Oryctolagus cuniculus: one gene and its partner. The protein of the gene in region 1 binds, or shares a complex with, the protein of each later gene. Links are inferred from orthologs where the notes say so. Each region holds a gene or a part of one and is shown in the gene's direction. Other genes may lie near its edges.

Region 1 (7,011 bases):
AAGTCTGCTCGCCAGGCCCAAAGGAGGGTTATTATTTTTAAGACTTGAAACTTTTCATTCTCTGAGAGGGCGGGAGGTTTCAAGAGGTACAGTGGCCAAAGCCCGAGTGCCCAAAACCTCACCCAAAGTGACCTGGACAAGTGCCAGTCCAACAAAAGCACTAGTCAGCCCAGGGTGTTTTCACAGCTGGACAGTGTTTGGGGATAGCATGGGTCGAAAGAGGGGACACAGAGGTGGCAGCCTCTGCGGTAGCATTATGCAATTGCAAGGAGCCTTGGGCAGGCAGATGGCTTTAATCGAATGGGTCAAGTGTCTTTCTAAAGAATGAGATTTGTCCTGTAGAGAAATGCCCTCAGAAGCAAACTCCTATTGCTAAGAAGGCCACTGAACACTATTCTTTGTTTAAGCTGGGAGCTTGGCTGCTTTTTGGCCTGAAGCCTTTCCTGCCTTGACCCTCACTGGGTATTTGCTCAATTCAACCCAAGGGGGTTCTGATTCCAGGGCCTCCATGAACTATACAGGGATCTGGAAGAAGATATCAGACAGCCTTTTGCCAAAGTTTCCCTCACCAACAGCCTTGTGAGTTAGAGAGCTTAATTGCCACCCATCAAAGAGGCCAGTAAACTACTTCCTGAGGGCTGAACCACCCTCACACGACACACAAAAATCTTAGCAACAAGTACACTTTTTCTTGTATAGGATCCATAACTTTCATAAGCTTCTCAAAGGAATCTATGATCCAAAAAATGTGTACACCACTGTTTTCCAAGAGCCTGTGGAAATGAGTTATCATTTAAATGTTGTTAAACAAGAAAGAAGTCTAATTAGGCTAAGGTTAGAGTCTTGACCCTTCCTATTTACAAAAAAAAAAAAAAAAAAAAAAGAGAGAGAGAGACTAAGACTCATGTGGATTTGTTCCCTCTAAGTGCCCTCCTTCAAGAAATAAGGTCAGATTAAGGTCAGATGAAAGAGGATAGCAATATAGTAGGGGCTGGCACTATGACTTAGCGGGTAAAGCTGCTTCCTGCAACACCAGCATCCCATATGGGCACCAGTTGGAGTCCCAGAAGCTCCACTTCTCATCCAGCTCCCTGCGAATGTGCCTGGGAAATCAACAGAAGATGGCCCAAATCCTTGGGCCCCTATACCCATGTGGGAGACCCAGAAGAAACTCATGGCTCCTGGCTTCAGATCGGCGCAGCTCCAGCCATTGCAGCCATTTGGGGAGTGAACCAGCAGATGGAAGATATCTTTCTCTCTCTCTCCTTCTCTTTGTAAACTCTGCCTTTCAAATAAATGAATAAATCTGGAAGGAAGGAAGGAAGGAAGGAAGGAAGGAAGGAAGGAAGGAAGGAAGGAAGGAAGAGAAAGTGAGCAAGACTAAAATGTGTAGGTCCAAAAGTTCCCAAGGCTGCTTGGGATCCAGCGAGAGAGTATGGTCAGGGACCAGAGGAAGCAGGCACTCTGGGAGAGAAGGGATGGCAGGTGAGTTATGCACAGATCTGGGTACCACAATTCAGAGGGAAATGGGTAAACTGAGAAGGATCCAGAAATCCTGCTACATGGGACACTGCGTGGGTTGGAACAGGAAAAATGGAGAGAAAGTTTATAGCAATGTCTTCAAATATGTTCAACTTGTTACACAACTAAGATTTTAGAATGTTGTGCCTTTATATGTGGCAGAGATCAAGGAAAAGCTGGGCGAAGGACTAATGGTACAGGAGAGCAAACCCAAAGAGAACTGCCTGCTCAAGGCAGAGCTGGGTCCACAATCCTGGCTCTGAGAGCCTTCCCAGCACTGTTTCTATTTCCCTCGGTTTTCCATTGCCTCCTGAGCGGGGGCGGGGCAGTGTGCTAGAACCAATGAGTTGTCATTTCAAGAATGCATGGCTGCGCAGTGAGACACTGCCTAGGCAGGCGAGGATTTCTGAGGGAGGGTGTATTAGTCCCCTACCACTACTGTGCCAAACCACCACAGATGCGGTTGCTTACCGTGCTCACAACAGCACGGGCCTGGAGTCAGAAGTCTAAAATGGGTCATCAGGTAATTTTCTTTGTGGAGGCCCTAAAGGAGAATCCATTTCCCTGCCCTTCCAGCTTCTAGAAGCTTCTTGAGTCACGCCCCCTTCCTCCATCTTTCATTTCAGCAGCACAGCACCTTCCATCTGCGACTCTGCTTCCATCCTCACATCTCCGATTCTGACGTCTGCTGAGGACTCTGTGCTTATGCTGGGCCTGCCTGGATAATCCAACATAGTCTCCTGTCTCAAGGCTCCTAACTCGAATGGGGACCAGCCAGGTCCCTTTCACCACATAATGTAATATATCCACAGGGTCTGAAGACTGAGAGGTGGACATTCTTTGGGCCTGTTAGTCAACCTACCACAGAATATATCAGGAAGTGTTTACCGATGCACTGGTTTCAGAGATCTGAGTTCAAAATCTGACTTCAGCACCCACAAGGTACATGATCATTACCTTCGTTGAGACTTTGTTCCTTCATTCATAAAATAGAAATGCAATCCCAAAGTTGTCACAAGGATTTTCATTCATGGATATGAAATGTGTAACACACAGTACACCCAGGAAATGCAGCCCTATTAATTCAAAGAACTGCCAGATGAGGAGTCTCAGCAGCAAAGAACTCAGTGGAAGAGACCCTACTACCAAAGGAGAGAGTTGATCAAGTGACCTCCAAACTCCCTTCCGAGCTGAAAATGGGAGTAACATTTTCCTCCATGTTATTAGCAGGACCTCTTACCATCTTGATGGAGCCAATCACAAGGTAATCACTTTTTGGATAATCAACAGTTATCAGGCTCTGCCCTTTGCCCTCTACAGCCCTGGTATCTGATTTGTCTGCTGAGATTTGATCAGGGCAAAAAGCCTGGCCTGGTGTGCAATGATTGGCTGCACCAGGCAGCTGAGACCAGCGCACACTCCCTCCTTCACATCTGTCAACATACCTGGCTGCGAACAAGTTGCTGCCTGTGACCACTGGCTGCAGCGGCCAGAGAGCAGGAAAGAGATAGAAGGGAACAGCTCATTTTCATGCTTGGGGAAAAGCTGGAGCCTGTGTGGTTGCTTCCTCCCCACATCCGAAACTCTTCAGAGAGGATTGGGAGAACTGTGGACCATCCCTGTTGAATCAGGAAGGAAAGAAGGAAGAATCTGAAATACAAAGCAGCAATCAAGGTAAGGGATCAGGCTGGCCACTGGACCTTCTCTCCAGATTGCAAACAAGCTCCTTAGCTAGCCCTGTAACTACAGTGTCTCTGCCGGCCGTCTCCTTCAGGAGATGTGGTAGATGGGAGTTGGGGCGGGTGTTCACAGAATTCAATCATCTGACCATCAGCGAATTCTGGAAACTAGGTTGAATTTTCCTTCCTCGTTCTTGCTCCTCTAAAAATTGCTGTTGTTGCTCTTCTATGTATTTTGAAAATTCTGTAGGTTTATTCTCTTTCATGGTTTGAAAGCATACATGTGGCTTATTGGAATTTTTCCACTTTGGGTAGCTTTATAAACATGTCTTCATTCTAGAATTTTGCTTGCATGAGTTCTTCTTGCTTTCAAGATATAGCAGAGAGGACAGTGTACAGACAAGTCTGAGAAACACGCTGTCTATTCAGGCGCTGTCAATCTCAAATAATGGGATTTCCCAGGGAGCCATTGGCCTGCTTGCTTTGGTACCAAAGGAGTTAAAAGTCCTGAAATTACTGGAGCAGAATCAAGCCTATTTACCCAGGCTTATCAGACCAGGCAGCCAGGTCAATCATTTACCGGGGCAGGGCTCTTTCCTACCTTTGACAGAAGACCACCAGCTGATCCCCTCCACAGAATACACATGGCAACATCAAAGCAACATTCTCTGAGGCTTTACCCCATATTCTCCTCTGATCAAGTTAGTTTGTATCCTAACCCGAGGAGTAAACCCCACAAGGTCCCTCCCAGTTCAGCAAGACTCATGCACAAACCTGAGACTTCATATCACTAGGATAAAACATTGTGGCTTTAGAGAGCACTTTGCCTGTCAGTGGAGGTCTATATGGAAGAAAGTGGTCTAACTAAGGATCAAGTTATTAAGGGATTCTGATGGAGAATAAGGCTATGGAGTAATTATCAAAAAAGTGAAGTCTTTCTCTTCAGGCCTACACATTTTGTAAATATGTTATTTGAACCAAACATGGCCTCCTCTTCTTTAGGTCTGAAGGTAACTTCTTTAATTGCAGAAACATTGTCATATTGTCATCATGTATACCTGCCAAGCGTGTGCTATAGCTCTTGGATCTTATAGTTGTTAGTGATAGGGAGGCCCTTTTTTCCTGAAGTCCCTTGGGGTAAGGGATTGAATCACATATTAGACAAGGTCATGTTTGATTGTTGTCAATCATTTATGGAACTTAAGTGAATCCCTTCAGGTAAGGTCTCTAGCTGGAATTTTTAGTGGCTGAGGTAGTTAACCAGATGCAGGAGCTGAGGTCACTGCAGACACATTGCAACTTGTGTGATTTGGGACAAGTCTGTGGCAACCTTGCAGGAATGTTATGGACAATTACGAAATGCTGTGCAGATATTAAGTCCTGCAGAATATTAACTGTGTGTCTGGCTGGAAACTGGAATATGCTGTACATCATGCAAGTGCTGGAGGTGGTTTTGAAGGGAGCACAGAGCCTTGGGGCATTCAAGACATAGGCCAAATTTACTTACTATGCTTTAGGCTGCCTTAGGGACTCGCACACACAACTGCACTCTCCTTCCTGTGCAGCCTGGCTCAAAGCCAAAACCACAAAGGAAAACCCTGCGGTTCTATCCAGCTCTTCTTCCCATTTCGTATACATTGTAAATTAGATAGGAAGAGACTATCCCTGAGATGGACTTGATTAAATGGGCATTGTTATTCTCTTTAAATGCTGGAAAGTTAGAACACAGACATTAATTAATTTGCCCCGATTCATGCAGTTACTCCAAGGCTGACCCCTGGTTCTATTCATTTCTGCCTTGTTGCCAACCCATTGCTTCATGAGGCAATGGAGTTGAACACATGGAGACGCTAAAGGTCAACGGGATAAGGAAGTCTCACTAATAGAGTTAGAAGTTCTCCACTGGCCTCTGGATGTGCCAGGCCTAAGGCCAGGTGAGTGCCACTGTCACCAAAAGACCACCGTTTGACTGGAGTGGACCTGATTCTAGGGGACTTAAAAGCACAAACTGGCAGGAAGTAAAGGGACGTGTTTGTAATGGTGACTATCTCTGGACTCGTGTCAGTCCTGGATATTTCCCAGTAAACCTAGTGAATTCTCAAGCTAGATCCTGGGCCCTGTGTTTTCTCTAGACTCAAATTCATGAGCCCCAACTAAAATACCGCACCTGAACCGGATCCAGAGAAAGAATGGACTCCATCCCTACCCTCCCCTGAGAACTCAAGAATTTCATTATTAGATGTCCACTCATCCATATCCCAGTTGGGCGAAAGGAGGCTTAAAGCAAGAGGAACCATCAGCAGTCCATCATTTCAAGGCTCCCAGCTATTGCAATTCAAAGAGACCCAGGTTGGCTTGGAATCCAAATAGCTTGATGATGTCATTTAAGCTGTAAATGAGTAAACTACAGCAGCAAGTCTTCCTCCCCCTCTTCCTCCCAGGTTCACTTCTTTCAAATGCATCCTAAAATGTCCATGGATTGTCTGGCAGAACTTCCAAACAGACACAATGCCCAAGCCTTTACATAATCAAGATTAAGAAACACCACTGTGACGGGTGGTTGGCTAAACACCCTTGCATGAGGGCTTTCCTTTTTTTTATGGACTTGCCTCATGCATACTTCAAGAGTGTGAGGCATTGCAAAGAGGGACTGCATCACCACGTCCACCAGGCCCCATCCAGGCAGGGGACCCCATTTGAACTGTACGCACAGCCTATCATCTGTGTTAATTAAGACGCTGAGAGAAAAACAAAGTTGACTCTAAAACACAAGGGCTCCTACCAACATTTCACCTTTACCCAATGCCTGTTATGCCTAACAAATCAGCTGCTGACTTTTTGTCTGCATGTTTTGCATGTATTTCCAAGACAACTTGCCAGGAATGAAGGAGCTACTAAGATCAGGTGGAGTTTAGCAGGAGTCTACTTGATCCTAAAGCCCAACTCCCTATACTCACTCCACAGTGCCTACATTGTTTGCACTGTACAAAAGGAGGGGACGTCCTTTCCAAATTGTTGCTTGAATTCTCAAAGTACATATTTATTCTCGCTTCCTTCCCCCAAGAAATGTTCTTGACTCTGTACAGCCATAAAATTCAGTATCACAGTGATTTACCTGCCCTGCGGGAAAGTAACACAACACACACACACAGACACACACATACACACACACGCACATTCGTATACTATAAACACACACATTGCCCCTGAGTCAGCATTTTGATCCCTTTCTGAAGCTGTGGAGAAAATTGGTCTTATTACCTTGCTCACAAACATTGGTTTCTTTGGTTCATTGATTTTAACATAATGCAAAATAAAATTTTTCCATTATTATAATAAGATTTTTGAAAGTTAATTGCTGCCATGAAATTTCAGCCTTTGAGAAAGCTAAATTTTTCAAAACTTTCCAGTATGTCAATGGTTTTATTTAATCTTCATCATAACACTGTAAGTTGAGTACCATTTTCAGGTGGTACCGTGTCAGATAAGGAACCTGAGGCTCATTACAAGTGGGCCTCCCTCTCAAACCTCAGGCAGCTAATGAGTTCTGTAAATATTGAGCACTAAATGCTTTGATCTTCTTTTCTCATTTACAAGCAGTTCTCTGAATTTCTTTTTTTATAAAGATTTATTTTATTCATTTGAAAGGCAGGGTCAGAGAGAGAGAGAGAGAGATCATTCTTCCCCACTGGTTCACTCCCCACGTGGCCACAAGGACCAGGGCTGGACCAAATAAAGGACCCCAAAACTCCGTTTGGGTCTCCCCCATGGGTCCCAGGGCCATGTTTCGTTATTTTTCTAGGTGTGTAAT
Region 2 (7,007 bases), on another chromosome or scaffold:
CTGGATGTGGTCAATGACCAGTATTTTTAAGCACGTGGAGCAAAAATTCAGCATTATTCTTGCACCACTGACCTATGTCTAGTCCATTGTTTGCCCTGTGTACACTTGCCAACTCTACTCCTTTTTTAATTTTTTTTTTTGACAGGCAGAGTGGACAGTGAGAGAGAGAGACAGAGAGAAAGGTCTTCCTTTGCCGTTGGTTCACTCTCCAATGGCGCACCGTGCTGATCCGATGGCAGGAGCCAGGTACTTATCCTGGTCTCCCATGGGGTGCAGGGCCCAAGCACTTGGGCCATCCTCCACTGCACTCCCTGGCCACAGCAGAGAGCTGGCCTGGAAGAGGGGCAACCGGGACAGAATCCGGTGCCGCGACCGGGACTAGAACCCGGTGTGCCGGCGCCGCAAGGTGGAGGATTAGCCTAGTGAGCCGCGACGCCGGCTCTTTGTTTAATTTTTTAAAAATTTATTTGACAGAGAGAGAGGTCTTCCTTCCCTTGGTTCACCCCAAAATGGCCGCTGTGGCCAGCACTGCGCTGATCGGAAGCCAGGAGCCAGGTGCTTCCTCCTGTTCTCCCATGCGGGTGCAGGGACCCAAGCACTTGGGCCATCCTCCACTGCACTCCTGGGCCACAGCAGAGAGCTGGACTGGAAGAGGAGCAACTGGGACTAAAACCCGGCGCCCATATGGGATGCCAGTGCTACAGGCAGAGGATTAACCATGTGAGCCACTGCGATGGCCCCAGCCAACTCCACTCTTTAACAGTGCTTCTTCAATGTAGCATCTTTCAGATACTTTGTGGCTTTTTGGGCATTTGTACCCTTGTCAATTTCATAAATGTTCTTAAAGTGAACATGAAGATTTGAACCTCTTTTTTTTTTTTTTTTGTAAGATTTATTTATTATATTGAGAGGTAGCGCGACAGAGAGAGGGAGAGTCAGAGAGAAAGGGCTTCCATCTGCTGGTTCACTCCCTAAATGGCCACATCCGCCAGAGCTGGGGTGATCCAAATTCCTTCCCAGGTCTTGCACATGGGTGCAGGGGCCCAAGCACTTGCGCCATCTTCCACTGCTTTCCCAGGCCATAGCAGATAGCTGGATTGGAAGCAGAGCCAAACCCGCACCCATATGGGATACCGGCACTGCAAGCGGGGGCTTTACCAGCTACGGCACAGCGACGGCCCCATGGATCCGCACACTTTAGAGATAGGCTGGATCCCAGCTGCCACTCAAATCCCACTTGGTCCTTCAGTAGTTCCCAGAAGTATACAGTGGTTCTTCCAAGGATACACAAGGGACAGGGGCAGAATGGACTGACTGCCAGTCTACATTTATTTTACCTCACCACACTGCTGGGGGCGGAGAGTGGGGGTGGGTAGGTAACAGGATGGCATATCGGGAGTCAGATGAGAAAGGTTTTGAAAAATAGTCAAAGAACGATGGCTTTTCCTGGGTAAGAGGCTGGATGCTCAAGAAATGGAATACGTTAGGATGCTCGGCTGGTAGCCATCTACAAATGGCAGTGCTACGTAGGGAGTACAGAGGTGATCGCCGCAGGCCCGGGAATCAGAATCTTCCCAATGCACAGTGATCCTGAAGGGAACAATTAGAGGGAGCTTGGGGAGGATGGGCAGGATGGGCAGGATTTGGTGAATGGATGTGCACACTGGGAAGAGATAGGAAAACACTAGTGGGACTATGAGGAAGCCAGAGACTGGTTAATTATGGCAGTGGGAGGTATGTGTAAAAAGATGACTCTCAACGCCTTTCATCTTAAGGGTATTTTAAATAATTTTAATATACGCTGGAAGGCTGGGAGTAAGTGTGATTCACACCCCTCTTTCTTTTCTTGGCTTAGAGATAGCTTATCTACATCTTTAAATTAATGGCTGCAGCCGACAAAGGAGAACCCAGAAAACTGGGTTGCTTGAAATACCAGTTGCCCAGCAGGTTCGCCTCGCTGCCGTGTTTGGCACCGGCAGGGGCCGAGTGTGGACATGACTCCCGCCCACGCAGTCACCACAGGAACACGTCGCACACCGGCGAAGGGTCCTGCGAGGCCTGCCTCGCGCCTCTGGGAGCAGAGCACTACCTCCCACGGCCACGTTTGGCAAAAGCTAACGGTGCACTAAGGGCGCCCACTGCAGCCCGGCATCCGAGGACAGCCCCAGCGCCACTCCCCGCAGCGGCCGCGGTCCCTGGGTTCGGGTAGCGGGCCCCGGGAGGGAGGGGGCGGGGCGGGGCGGCGCGCAGGTTCGGGAGAGACACGATTCCTCTCTCCGGGCCTCGGCGGTCCACTTCCTACGGCAAGCACGAGGAGACAATCGCCGCCTCTCCTCGCGCCCACCTACAGCCTCGCGCCTGAGCCTGCCTGGGCTCTCCCCTCCCGAGGCCTCAGGGGCGCGAGAGTGTGTACGTGGGTCCGCCCCGCGGCCCCCCGGCTCTGCCCCGTATCACCCAACTTCTCGGCCGCTACCCCGTCGCGCCCTAGGAGGCGTCCGGGGGCTCAAGGGCCGCAGATTCGAAGTCCCAGGAGGGTGAGCGAGGGACAGTGAGGTCCCCGGGCTGGGAGCTGGAGGAGGAGCTCGCGGCGGCCGGGGCCGGGGGCGGGGCTAGGTGTCTCGCGCAGGGGGCGGGGCGCGGTGACGTCCGGGCGCCCGGGCCGTGCTGTGGCGGTGGCGGTGGCGGCGGCGGCGGTGGCGGCGGCGGTGGGGTAGTGGCGGCGGCGGCGGCGGCGGCGGCGGCGGCGGCGGCAGCGGCAGTAACAGCGGCAGCGGCAGCCCTGAGGAGGGTGAGACGACAGCGGCGGCTGCAGCGACGACTCGGAAGTCGGGTGGGACCTCCAGCTTCCCGCCTGCTGTTGGCGCTGAGGCTTTTGCCTTTTCTGACCCGGCTTCTTGCTCCCGGCCCTGACTGGGCAGGGCAGAGCGCCCCCGGGGAGGGGCGGAGCTGTAGGTGAGGCTTCAGGACCCCCTCCCCCTCTTCTCGCGACCGGGGGGGATGGGGAAGTCCGGGGAGGGGCGGACCCCACCCCAGCGCACCCCAGCGCACCCCAGCCCACCGGCGGGCTCCACCCCGCGCACTCCGGGTTGGGCGGGAGCTGAGGCAGTAGCGGTGGGGAGCCCCGGGCTGGAGGTGGGAGGCAGGGGCTCTGGGCGATTGCGGGGCGGGAGGTGGGAGGGAGGTTGGTGAGGCGTGATTGTGCTGGGGGCTCGGGGGGAGTTGGGAACCTTGGGGAGCCTTGAGGTTGAGGTGCGGTCACGGTGCTTCTTGGATGTTGGGGACTGATGTAAAAATGTTGAGCTCCCCCCCCCCCCCTTTTCCCGGTGAAATGGTGAGGTAGAAGACGGGTTCTGTTTCAAAAGAAAGCTGAACTATAGGTGATGCCTTTGAGGCGGCTGGAGAAGCTGTTGCAGCAGATCTCACATTTCTACTTTAGGATTTTGGTTCCTTTTCTTTTTCTTCTCCTGGGTTGGGTGGGTGGGGAGGGGTCCGGGGAGGGAAGAGAATTCCTTTGCTTTAGTTCGTGATGAGTAAATCGTGAGCATGGCTGGATCAGAAGTTTTATACCGAAGAAGAGGAAGATCTTGGGTTTAGACAACTTCGTTGTGGCAGCAACCATTAGGGAACAGGTCTCATTACACTCAGCTCCGTGAGGTGTTGTCTTCCAGTTTTTTCCCCCCTGTGCCTGTTGGATCTCTTTATGCCACTTTTTAAGGTACAGGCGTTTCCGGGCCCCTTAAGAGAAGGCCTGAGTCTCAGGTGGTTGTTTTGGAAGACACGTTTCTGAGTAATACTTGCAGGTGGTTGTGGTTGACTGCTTTGGGTGGATAAAATGAACAATTTGAACAGTTCTTTTGGAGCTAATTATATGAGAAATGCTTAAATGTTTTAAGGCACAGTTGTCTTTTATGGCTTGTTTTTCAGTAGACCTTGACATTTAGACGTTTTGTGTTCAGTTATTGAAGTTGTTTTTATTTCTCAATTGCAGTTGTATTTATTGCAACCTTTATTAAACACTCTAGAAATGGAAGGGCATAGGGGCAGGCTTTGTCACTCGAGGTTAACAGCCACCCCCTGGGAGCTGGCATCTTATATTGGAGTGCCTACTTGGAGTCCAAGTTACTCCAAGCTTTCCATCCAGCTTCCTGCTAATGTGCCTGGGAGGAAGTATGGGAGACTTTAGCCTGGCCCAGCTCTGGCTGTTACAGGTATCTGGGGAGCGAACCAGTGGGATCAAAGATAACTTTCTTTGTCATTCTGCATTTCAAATAAATAAATAAAACTTAACAAGAAATGGAAGATATGTATGTACATATATATGTTTATAGGTAGGCCCTCAATTTCTTAGACATGTTTTTGGAAGTCAAGTGCTTTTAAAATACTGTAATAATGTTATGTCTTACTTTGTAGAGTGATGTTATTAAGGGTAAACAGTGTTCAGTTTTAAGTCAGTGTTTCACAACTTGGTACAGTAAATCAGACTCTTGGATTCCTGCTCCCTATTAGATTACAGCCTTAACTATCTATCTATTGGTTATTGTCATTTAAGCTAATTCTTGTTTAGAAAATAGGTCCTATGTTGGACATGTATTATGAAATGGATGAAAATAGGCATGATTCTTAATAATTCATTTCTGAAGGAAAAGAAAGCGTCATGAGATAGAAATTAGTGACTTTCCTAAGGCTTAACCAGTTTATTTGGAAATACAGCCAGAGATGTGCTTTCCTGTATCCCAAGAAAGAAATACACAGATGTAAGTTTTAGGAGTTGCCGATCATTGCCTTTTTGACATGCCTAATGAGCAGGCGGTTATCTTCTAGCAAATGCTTCTGCTTTTAAGAGACTTACTGGCAACAGAATATAATAGAGTATGGTCCAATTTATAGTTACAAATAAAATATTTAATGAACTATATTAGATTGGTTTTTGGGTTGGTGCAAAGAATAATTTTGATTTTGGGTTAGTTAGAAGGAAAACTTAAAAGTCACATATCCCTTTCTCTCTGTCTCTCTCACTGTCTATAACTCTACCTGTCAAAATAAAATAAATAAATAAAAAAGAAATCAATCTCAAAAAAAAAGTCACATATCTAGTTTTGGCTTTGAATGGTACTGTGATTTAATCAATCAGAACATTGTGAAGTAGGGTGCAAGCAGTGGCTTATGCCTCTGTGCCACAGCACTGGCCCCACCAGGTGAAACTTTTGGTGTATGTACTCCTAAATTAATATGTGCATGGCTGACTGAGATGCAGTTCTTCTTGTAGGACTTAAATCATAGAGCTTAAGAGAAAGTCCAGAGTAGCAGTAATCTCTCCTATTTAGAATTTCTTGTTATACATTTTAAAGTTTTGAAAATGTTGCTTGTTACTCATTACTTGGTGATACCCTTGTTGAATCTAATAAGCTATCCTGTATTTTCTTTATAACTAAAGTCATAGGTAAGTATGCCAGTCTGTTAATTCAACATTAACACTGGAAACTTAAAAATGAAGGTTCTCACCCCAACAGCTGCTCTGTTTTATGCTTTGTTTATGCTTGTAGATATAGTATGAGAGCTGATAAAAGTGTGTTTTCCTGAGCTGGACACTTGGCTTGGTAAGATGTTGATTAGGATGCCTGCATCCCATGTTCCAGCCTCATACCCATCATCTTAGATTTCTGTTTTCCTGCTGATGTGGATCCTGGGAGACAGCAGGTGATGACTCAGATAGTCAAATAAATACTCAAATAGTGTAACTCATGTGGGAGCCCTAGATTGAGCTCTCAGCAACTGGGGAGCCAGCAGCAGGCGGAAGCCCTCTCTGTCTCTTAGAAAAATTAAGGAAAAAAGTGTTTTACATGCATTATAACAGAAACACTGATGGAAAAGATCAGAGATTGAAATATTTCCATTTCATTTCATTCATCAGTACATTGATTATAAGTTTTCAGGGAAATAGGTAATAAAATAAGTTTATGGAATATAATTCTATGGCTCTTCAGATCTTTGAGTCTGTGTTGTGGGATCAGAGTGCCCCAGTTACAATCCTCGCTTTGTCATCATATGACTTAGGGTAAACTGCCTAACCTTTGTTTGTTTCTTTTTTTAAGATTTATTTATTTGGAAGTCAGAGTTACAGAGAGAGAGAGAGAGAAAGAGAGAGAGTGAGCGAGCAAGTGTGTGAGAGATCTTCTATCTGCTGGTTCACTCTCCAAATGGCCACATTGACCAGGCTGGGCCAGGCCAAGGCCAGGATCCTGGAGCTTCATCTGAATCTCTCACGTGAGTGCAGGGCCCCAAACACTTGGGCCATTTTCCACTGCCTTTCCCAGGCCATTAGCAGGGAGCTGGATTGAAAGTGGAGCAGCTGGGACATGAACTGGCTCCCATATGGGATGCTGGCATCATAGGCTTTACCTGCTTTGCTGCAATGCCCAGCCCCTAACCTTAGTTTCTTAACCTTAACTCCTTCATCTGCAAAATGGGAGTAATTAATGATTGTACTTAATCTTTTAAGATGGTTAAATGAATTAGTTTATGTATGTAGAATGGTTTTGCCATATAGCCAATCCAGTAATATCTATTGCTATTACTATGTACTATTTACTCTCACTTAAAAAAAAAAAAATATATATATATATATAGAGAGAGAGAGAGAGAGAGAGCATGTATTATAACTCAGGTATTGCAGATGCTGGCAATAAAGCAGTGAACAAGGCAGACAAAAATTTATGTCTTTATGGAGCTTTTATGCTATTTGAAGAGATAAATAAGTAAATAAGTAAATAAATTACTACAAGGTATATTGGACATTGACATAGAGATACATGAGAAAAGAGAGGAGGATAGGGAATATGGGGATGGGAATATAGGGGACTAATAGATCATTGCATAGCCTCTGAATTTTCTTTTTTAAAGATTTGTGTATTTATTTGAAAGAGTTACAAACTGAAGGAGAGACAGAGAGAGGGAAAGATCTTCCATCTGCTGGTTCACTCCCCACAGTGGCCAGATATCTGTAACAG

What was found.
Region 2: PHLDB2 (region 1) and ERC1 share a complex: the UniProt entries of both Homo sapiens proteins name them as parts of the cortical microtubule stabilization complex. The link is inferred for Oryctolagus cuniculus from reciprocal best matches to the Homo sapiens genes PHLDB2 and ERC1.

Annotation. Positions count from the first base shown.
Region 1 is NC_091435.1:67,775,975-67,782,985, forward strand, and holds the start of PHLDB2 (pleckstrin homology-like domain family B member 2), read left to right. Parts: upstream 1-3,058; 5' UTR 3,059-3,195; intron 3,196-7,011. UniProt on the Homo sapiens protein: Seems to be involved in the assembly of the postsynaptic apparatus. May play a role in acetyl-choline receptor (AChR) aggregation in the postsynaptic membrane.
Region 2 is NC_091440.1:98,806,015-98,813,021, forward strand, and holds the start of ERC1 (ELKS/Rab6-interacting/CAST family member 1), read left to right. Parts: upstream 1-2,648; 5' UTR 2,649-2,952; intron 2,953-7,007. UniProt on the Homo sapiens protein: Regulatory subunit of the IKK complex. Probably recruits IkappaBalpha/NFKBIA to the complex. May be involved in the organization of the cytomatrix at the nerve terminals active zone (CAZ) which regulates neurotransmitter release.